2 linked regions of the Coturnix japonica genome follow. The main gene of each other region encodes a partner of the protein of the gene in region 2 in a complex. Links are inferred from orthologs where the notes say so. Each region holds a gene or a part of one and is shown on either strand. Other genes may lie near its edges. The genes, in order: RAB3GAP1 and RAB3GAP2.

The links.
Region 1: the proteins of RAB3GAP2 (region 2) and RAB3GAP1 are in contact, whole or in part, in a cryo-EM structure (PDB 8VYB), measured with the Homo sapiens proteins. The link is inferred for Coturnix japonica from reciprocal best matches to the Homo sapiens genes RAB3GAP2 and RAB3GAP1. Residues at the interface, in NP_036546.2 of Homo sapiens: Arg197, His198, Pro199, Gly200, Ser276, Pro277, Phe278, Asp279, Met281, Lys282, Ser285, Asn286, Ile287, Gly289, Phe290, Asn291, Ala292, Ile294, Arg377, Phe378, Gly379, Leu380, Pro381, Asp382, Arg385, Cys395, Thr397, Leu398, Arg407, Arg415; in NP_036365.1 of Homo sapiens: Thr19, Ser21, Trp23, Glu24, Glu142, Ser143, Asn146, Leu147, Leu149, Ser150, Ser153, Ile154, Ile169, His170, Trp173, Arg174, Met176, Arg187, Asp189, Glu191, Met192, Val193, His194, Leu195, Arg196, Pro199, Tyr202, Ile211, Ser214, Lys215.

What each region holds. Positions count from the first base shown.
Region 1 is NC_029522.1:27,696,651-27,701,045, reverse strand, and holds the start of RAB3GAP1 (rab3 GTPase-activating protein catalytic subunit), read right to left. Parts: upstream 2,840-4,395; 5' UTR 2,747-2,839; coding exon 2,729-2,746; intron 2,612-2,728; coding exon 2,556-2,611; intron 2,157-2,555; coding exon of another isoform or gene 2,137-2,156; exon of another isoform or gene 1,811-2,136; intron 1,778-1,810; coding exon 1,702-1,777; intron 1,385-1,701; coding exon 1,252-1,384; intron 1,020-1,251; coding exon 941-1,019; intron 582-940; coding exon 462-581; intron 23-461; coding exon 1-22. Other genes in the region: MAP3K19 (mitogen-activated protein kinase kinase kinase 19), read left to right, coding at 2,137-2,156. UniProt on the Homo sapiens protein: Catalytic subunit of the Rab3 GTPase-activating (Rab3GAP) complex composed of RAB3GAP1 and RAB3GAP2, which has GTPase-activating protein (GAP) activity towards various Rab3 subfamily members (RAB3A, RAB3B, RAB3C and RAB3D), RAB5A and RAB43, and guanine nucleotide exchange factor (GEF) activity towards RAB18.
Region 2 is NC_029518.1:16,360,330-16,363,137, reverse strand, and holds the end of RAB3GAP2 (rab3 GTPase-activating protein non-catalytic subunit), read right to left. Parts: intron 2,630-2,808; coding exon 2,483-2,629; 3' UTR 769-2,482; downstream 1-768. Other genes in the region: IARS2 (isoleucine--tRNA ligase, mitochondrial), read left to right, coding at 1-28, 180-331. UniProt on the Homo sapiens protein: Regulatory subunit of the Rab3 GTPase-activating (Rab3GAP) complex composed of RAB3GAP1 and RAB3GAP2, which has GTPase-activating protein (GAP) activity towards various Rab3 subfamily members (RAB3A, RAB3B, RAB3C and RAB3D), RAB5A and RAB43, and guanine nucleotide exchange factor (GEF) activity towards RAB18.

The sequences.
Region 1 (4,395 bases), on a different chromosome or scaffold from region 2:
TTGCACAAACAGTGGCACCTGGCTGTAAAACATCCACATTTGGGATTATCTCTGCCATCTCATAGCCTTTTAAACACCCTATTTTTTAGAATATGTTTTTTCTTAGGACAACACAGTTCAAAATGCTTAATATGAATCACAGAAAAATATTCTTAACTTCATCATTAAAGAGAAAAAAGCCTGAAAATTGTCACGAGAAACACAAATGCAAAGATTCACTGATGACAAGCTTTTGAGATTTCCATACAACAGTGAATAAAAATAACATACTGAATCAGTATTTATATTGTCACAGTGATGAGATATTTAAAAGGCTTTTTGTAACAGCATTATGGTGCAAATGCAAGAAACACAATGTAATTCACTAACAACTAAAAACTTCTTCCTAATGAAATGAAGAACTACATAAATAGTACGCTAGTTTCACCTGAGCATATAAAAAAGTTCATGCTTTCACCTACCAGCCAGTGTTGCCCAAAGCAATAGAGACAGAACTCAGCAGCAGGTTACATTTTGATTCACTAAGAACCGCATCACTATTTGCAGCTGGAGCAATAACCACAAACTCACGTAAGCCGTACCTTAGAGAAAGAGCAGGGAAAAGGCAATATATCTGTGTGCTCCAATAAACCAGCTCTAACACAGAATTGTCAGAAACGTTATAACCTGAATAATCCAACTGTCACCAACAGGATATGACTCTTATTTTGCTGTGTGTCACTTCTTCACAGAGGCCAAGATCTGACTGGGAATGCAGTACTGTAGATCATCACAGCACTACAGGAATTCAACAATGCTCAAACACTACTGAATGTTAGGAGGATTTTCCAGGTGTACCAGTCCTGAGTTTCTTACTACGGTTAGTAAGAACTGTAATTAAACCTAAAAACAATCTATTGCTATGCTTCTCTGTGTTAAAGAAGAAAGGCAGCATACATACCATCTTACTAGACAGTGAGCTCGAGGAGGAAAGTCATTGTTCATGCAGAGCAAGTCCTGCATAGGCAGAGGAAGGGCATCTGCAAAAAGATGTGACACCTAAGACCATCAGCATCCCTATAACCAGAAGTTTACTTCTTTAGCAATTTGTTCACAGTAAGATGTAGTAAAAATCAGAAATGTCAAGTCCAGCCCATCAGATCCCCCCCCCAGATTTCACACAGATGCAAATCAGCACTCTGAAATTGTCTTCTGTCATATCCTTACAACACCTGTGACACATTTCAGGCACAAAAGAATACTGTCAGCTACCTTCTACACCTTCTTCTCTCCCATCTCTGTCTCCAGGTTCTTGCACAAGATAATGATGTGTAACTGAGAATTTGAAGTCTGCAAATGAAATTTCATCTGATTTCTCCTCCCAGGTTCCTGTGGTGTATACACCCTGCAGATTGGAAATAGCAAAAGCAACAAGCAAAGCTATTACTTGATCACATAAATTCAGGTTAATATTTGTTCCCCTTTCTCTCCTTTTTTTTTTACAGCTAGTCATGGTTTACTACGAAGATAATTCTCAAAGCACTTAAAGTTAGCGGAATGCTAAAATCTATGTTAATTGCTTTTATTTCGAGTACAGAAGTCCTCGGCGCTATTAGGCAATGAAGAGTTAAATATTTCCTTCACATGAAACTGCACATCTAAAGCACATGCATCCTCTACTCTGCCCATCACCACCATAGAAGCCCTAACCGACCAACTGACCTTTTCCAGAGGTTTGCCTGAAGAAATCCCGATAAGTTTCCAGTCATTCAACACTTCTTCTATTTTTGAAATAAATCTATTAAGGAGGGAAAAAGGTATTAATATTTCCTGATTGCTCGCTCAGCTCGTGTTGTAAATTCAACTCCCAAAAGCAGGCAACAAGTAGTCCTACTGGGGAACTCCTTTAAAACAAAGCAAAAAGAACAGTAACATACCAAGGACCACAACAAAAATAGCCTGCTTCCCTGTACAAACAAAGCGGTGCTTTTAGTTTCACATCCCAGATAAGCCTTATGTTTAGCAATGAACACGTGTTGAGTGTTTATAAAGTCTCTCCCATTTTCACAGAATCACACAACTGTAGGATGGAAGGGACCTCTGGGGATCCACGAGCCCAACTGCTTCACTGCTGAATGCTCCAGTTACACTTCAAGCATGATTTTTTCCTCAAAAAGGTAATTTCTAACATAGAGGAACACACTTTCTGTCTCCCCTACTCACCCTTCCCTCACCCCCACTTATTGGTTTTGCGAAGAGTTTCAAGTACGACCAGCTAAAATTAAAATGTCCCAGTTATGGCCAACACAGGGTTTAATTCAGATCAAGGTATGATCATACATTAAGACAACATGAGTGGAAGAACTGAGACTGATGTTATACGTTTGTCTGGTACTGCAACAAAACAGAATCCTGCTTCACTGCTTAGAGAAAAATAAAAACCACATTAGACACGTAATCTAAATTCAAATTTAAACACAGGCCTTAAAATCTTTTTCTATCATAGATATTCTCACTGGAAAATGGACTTGTTTATGTAAACGCAGGGCCGGCCACAGCCCGGCGGCAGCACGTACCTCTCCCACTCGGAGGCGGTGGTGAAGTCCGTGATCTCGAACACCTCCGACTCGGGCTGCGGGGAGAGAGCGGGAGAAGCATTGAGAGGGAGAAGCATTGAGAGGGAGAAGCAAGAGAAGCAATGAGAGGGAGACCTGGGGATGGACGGGATGGGGGGACACAAACAACTCACTTCACTATCCGCCGCCATCTTGCCCTGCGTCCCGCCCCATGCACAAGGGCTGACGGGAAGCTGCGCGGGATGGGCGGGTTCCTCACACAGCGCCTCGACCCCAGTGCGCGCTTCATGCTATTTCTCCGTCATAAATAACACAAATAAATAACGTAATCCTTAAGGCTGCCTGCAAAGGGACGGAGAGTAATTAATGAGAATGTACCGGCCATAGTGAGCGCTGAGGTGTTGGCTGTAAAGGGAAAATGACGTAGAGGTAAAGGAAGCATTGAAAGAGAAGGGAGAGGGCTGTGGTGCCTTGGCAACGCGGTGTAAACGAAGCGCGGCGGAACGGCCGAGCCGCTGGGACAGCTACAGGGACAGAGAGGGATAGGGACAGGGATAGAGATAGGAACAGAGATAAGGAACAGAGATAGGGACAGAGACGAGGTCCGAGCCCGCTGCCCCGCCGCCACCGGCACGTTGGTGTGTGTGGAATCTGTGCCTCTGCCACACTTCGCTGCTGAAACACACGGTAAGGGCTAGCTGAGAACTTGTTCAGCTGTTATTTTGAATTAAATATATATATCTATATATACAAAAAAATGGGAAAGTCTGGCAAAGTTCAGCGTATAACCCTTAACAGGCTCATATAATCGCCCTTCTGATGGGCTATCTGCTGTTTAGCATAAGGAGAAATCAAAAGTGCTGCTTTCCACTGCAGTTCCACACAATATCGGTTGTCCCTGATCTTGGTTCTCTTCTGCTTCCTCTGTTATAAACCTCCAATGGCAGCACTGCCCGATGTCAGGGTGCAGCACTGTTTGGTGTTAGCAATATTTCTCTCTCATGTAGGGTGGTGACATGTAGAATTGTTATGATTAATTTAATCTGGGGTAAACGGATGAGTCTCTTGGGAAGGCTGCCGTATGCTGACGGCTTGTTGTGTACTTATTGCTGATGGAATGAGAAACAAAGGCCACGTTCTTTTGCTGACCAGCAGTAAGTGGCGAAATACTAAATCCAGCAGGAGCTACATGGGCCATTTGTTTCCACTGAGCTCTGTCACGACTTGGAAATACAAATCCAATCCTGAAGGACTCTGAAGGACAGAGTTGGTACCTGCCATCTGTTGCTTACATCTTACCACTGGCTGCACTGTAACACTGGGCTGCTTTCCCATTAGTAGCTCCACTGAGAGCCCTGAGCTGAAGTGCAAGGGAAAAAAGGCATTTATGACTAAAAATGGGTATTTATGAGCTAAACAAATAAGCAAACAAACCCAAACCATTGCCAGCGATAGTACCTGTTAGGAATAACTTGTAATAAAATGTATAATGAATGCTGAAAGTGTTTTTTACCTCTAGATGGAAAAAGTCCACACACATAATTCATATTAGGCACATTATTAAGGAGTTTTCCATTAAGGACTTCATGATCTTTCTCTCTAGCATTCAGTAACCCCATGTAACTCTAATGACTTCTAGGCTATCATTCATGTATCTTTAAATGCATATTCATTTCAGTGTATTTGTACACATATCTGACAGTTTTGTCTGTATTTTTTTAAACTGAGTTGTTTGCAAAATTGGTAATCACAGCCTGAACCACTGATTAATCAGCTGAGCCAAGTGTTGGGTCAGCTGTGGGAGCACAGGTGAGAGTAGTTTAGCTGTGCTCCCAGAAGG
Region 2 (2,808 bases):
AAAGGAAACTTTCTGATTAACCTAGAAGGTAAGAAAACCAGTCCAGGTCTGCTTCTCTGCTAAGCCATATTTACTTATTACTGCACTGTAACCTGTTTGATTGCTCCCTTCATCCATGGGATTGAATACATTAACTACACCTGCGTGTAGATAACCTCAGCAAGGTTTTTCTTTAACAGGTGGAGATATTCGTGAAGAATCTTCCTATACAGTCATAGCCCTACCCACCACCAAAGCCAAATGCCCTCGCTGCAGGAGGTACACTTCAGATTCCTCAAGCACTCCTTGCCCCCGCTGCCTCAAAGTCATCTCTGGAAAAGGAAGCACATGAGGATCGAGTGCCTACACACAGGCTGCTCCAATGTACTAAGTAACTGAAAGGCGTAAAAGCAGTGGTGAACCAACAGCTCTTGGAACCACTGCTGCTGAACCCACCCCCATCCCCTCCCCAGCCAGAGCAGAATTTATGTGCTTTGGGTGGAGCTATATGTATATATTCAACTGTGTATATGAATTTTCTGCTTAATAAAAATGATGGTTCAAAAAGGAAAAAAAAAAAACCCACAACTGATTTACTTGTTTTAGTAACCCATCTTCTCTAAGTGCAGTTATACTTGTTATATACAGTTATACTATATACATCTACACTGAGCAGCCTTACTGCTCATTTCATATGGGCAGGAAATAGGATGGCAGAACCCAAAGAAACAGTCCTTCAGAGCATCTCCTCTTCAAACAAAAAGCAGCACCACAAAGAAGGAAAAAAAACACATTGAAACCTCCTCAAATTTTATTTAATCAATTTACACAAATCCACAGCAAATTAGACACAAAATAGCACTATATACAGAATATTACTTACAATACATTACAGATTTGATTGGTGTAGAGTGTCAGCTCTGGCGTGATATTTAGTTACAGTGAGGTCCTTTACACAACTGTACCAGGATACAGGAATGTAATGCAAACTAAGAAATGATTTTGCTTCTCCTCAGGTTTCAGGACTGATTCTCAGGCCTGTCTGTTTGTGCAGACAGCTGAAGTGCTGCCAGGCAAGGCAATACAGGCACTGTCCAGCCTTGCCTTCTGGCATTATTCCCCTACACCTGTTTCACTTCTACACAGAGCAGCACCGGCCTCTTACTCATGCAACCTCATAAAGGAAGTCAAACACTGCATCAAATCTTGTCAGGAAGCCTTCATCATCTACATTAAAGTGCAGAGGTCAGCAACTGGGGATGCTGAACAGCTGCCCATCTTACAGAGCTAACCACCTACCAAGCAGTTTTCAGGGGGAGTCCAACCTAAGATGACAGCAGCGCATACACCAGAAAGGTAAGACCAAATTCTGCCTGTAACAGTATAGAATGCTATGAAGGTTTCTTGCAGGATACAAGATGGAGTAACTTCAGCTGACTTCAAGGCAAAACAGCCTACAACAACGCTATTTTCCTTTCCTGGCTTCCCTTTAAGTAGAAGGAAAACTATTAAGTGATGTAAGATAATCATTTGTAACACCACTCTGGTAGTGAAGATATTCACTACATGATTCCCTGTAGGAACTGTCAATATAACGGTTTTGTTGGGTTGTTTTTTAAGGCTAAGGTACTCAGAACTGAAGATCTTCAGTGAAGTTGGACAACTATTGAAGCAAGTTTTGACGAGTTAACACGTGCAGAGACTTAGAGCATACTACATCTTCTACAGTGGTAGAACAGGGAACAACCTTACAGTACATACAGACCTACGGAAACTCAGCAGAGCTTAATAATAAAGGATAGGGATGTAAATCCAGTTTTAGCTGAAGCCCAGCACACCCTCCTAGAGACAATGCTGAGAGGCTAAAACTGGATGAAAACAGGTCCATATTTGTGTCTGGGGATGTGGTTCTCTCTCCCTTCCCAGCTGATTCTAACATGGGCTCTTCTCCCTTTGTGTAAGGCATGTTCCATTCTACTTCTAGTGCACCCACTGTCATCTGTGTGCAGTTAGCAGACAGGAGCCCAACACCAATTCTAGCTTCTGGAAAAGCAGCACCAGCATCACAGGATAACTTAAAAGACTTGAAGTTTTTCCTCAGATTTAATTCTGCAGCTTCTTTAGATAAATGATACATGGAACATTGTAACTACAGCAGTTATTGCTAGCGTGAAATACAAAAAATATCACAAGACATGATTTTGTTGACTAAAACTGCTGTCAAATATACCCAATTCAGACTACTGCAAGAAGCGCTCAAGTCAAATAAATAACTAAGCGGTTCAGATACTGACAAGTGTACTAGAAACTAAACATCTCTGTACTAGTGCAGAATTTAAGATACACTCCAATTTAAAATTACCTGCTGGAGCTGTGGGGTGGGGAACGTTGTTCTTCTCGTTCAACAAAAGCCACACAAAAGTTTCTTTCTGTAAATGTCAGCCTTGGTGTGTAAAATCATGCACTGTAGCACTACGTAGCAGAACCGTTCTAAGGAAGAACGTCATGATGAGATGGCTTCTACGGCCTCTATCAGATTCAAAGCCAGGCTATATTGCCCATGATTCTCTGGTAAGTGCTCTATTACTCTGTTCACCAGTTTAGCTGTTGTAGCAATTGGCACTTGCACGTTTTGAAGTTCCTGGGGGTCCTATATAAAAGAACAAACACAGCATTAGAGCTCTTCTTGCAGATAAGCACATACGCCTTCCTCGTCTTGTATAACCCAATTACTATTTGGAATTAAGCTGATGACCCAGAAGTATAATGGTACTTCTGGTTATTTTGCCCCTCAGACCCTTCTTAACTCAATCCTCTCTGCTAATCAAT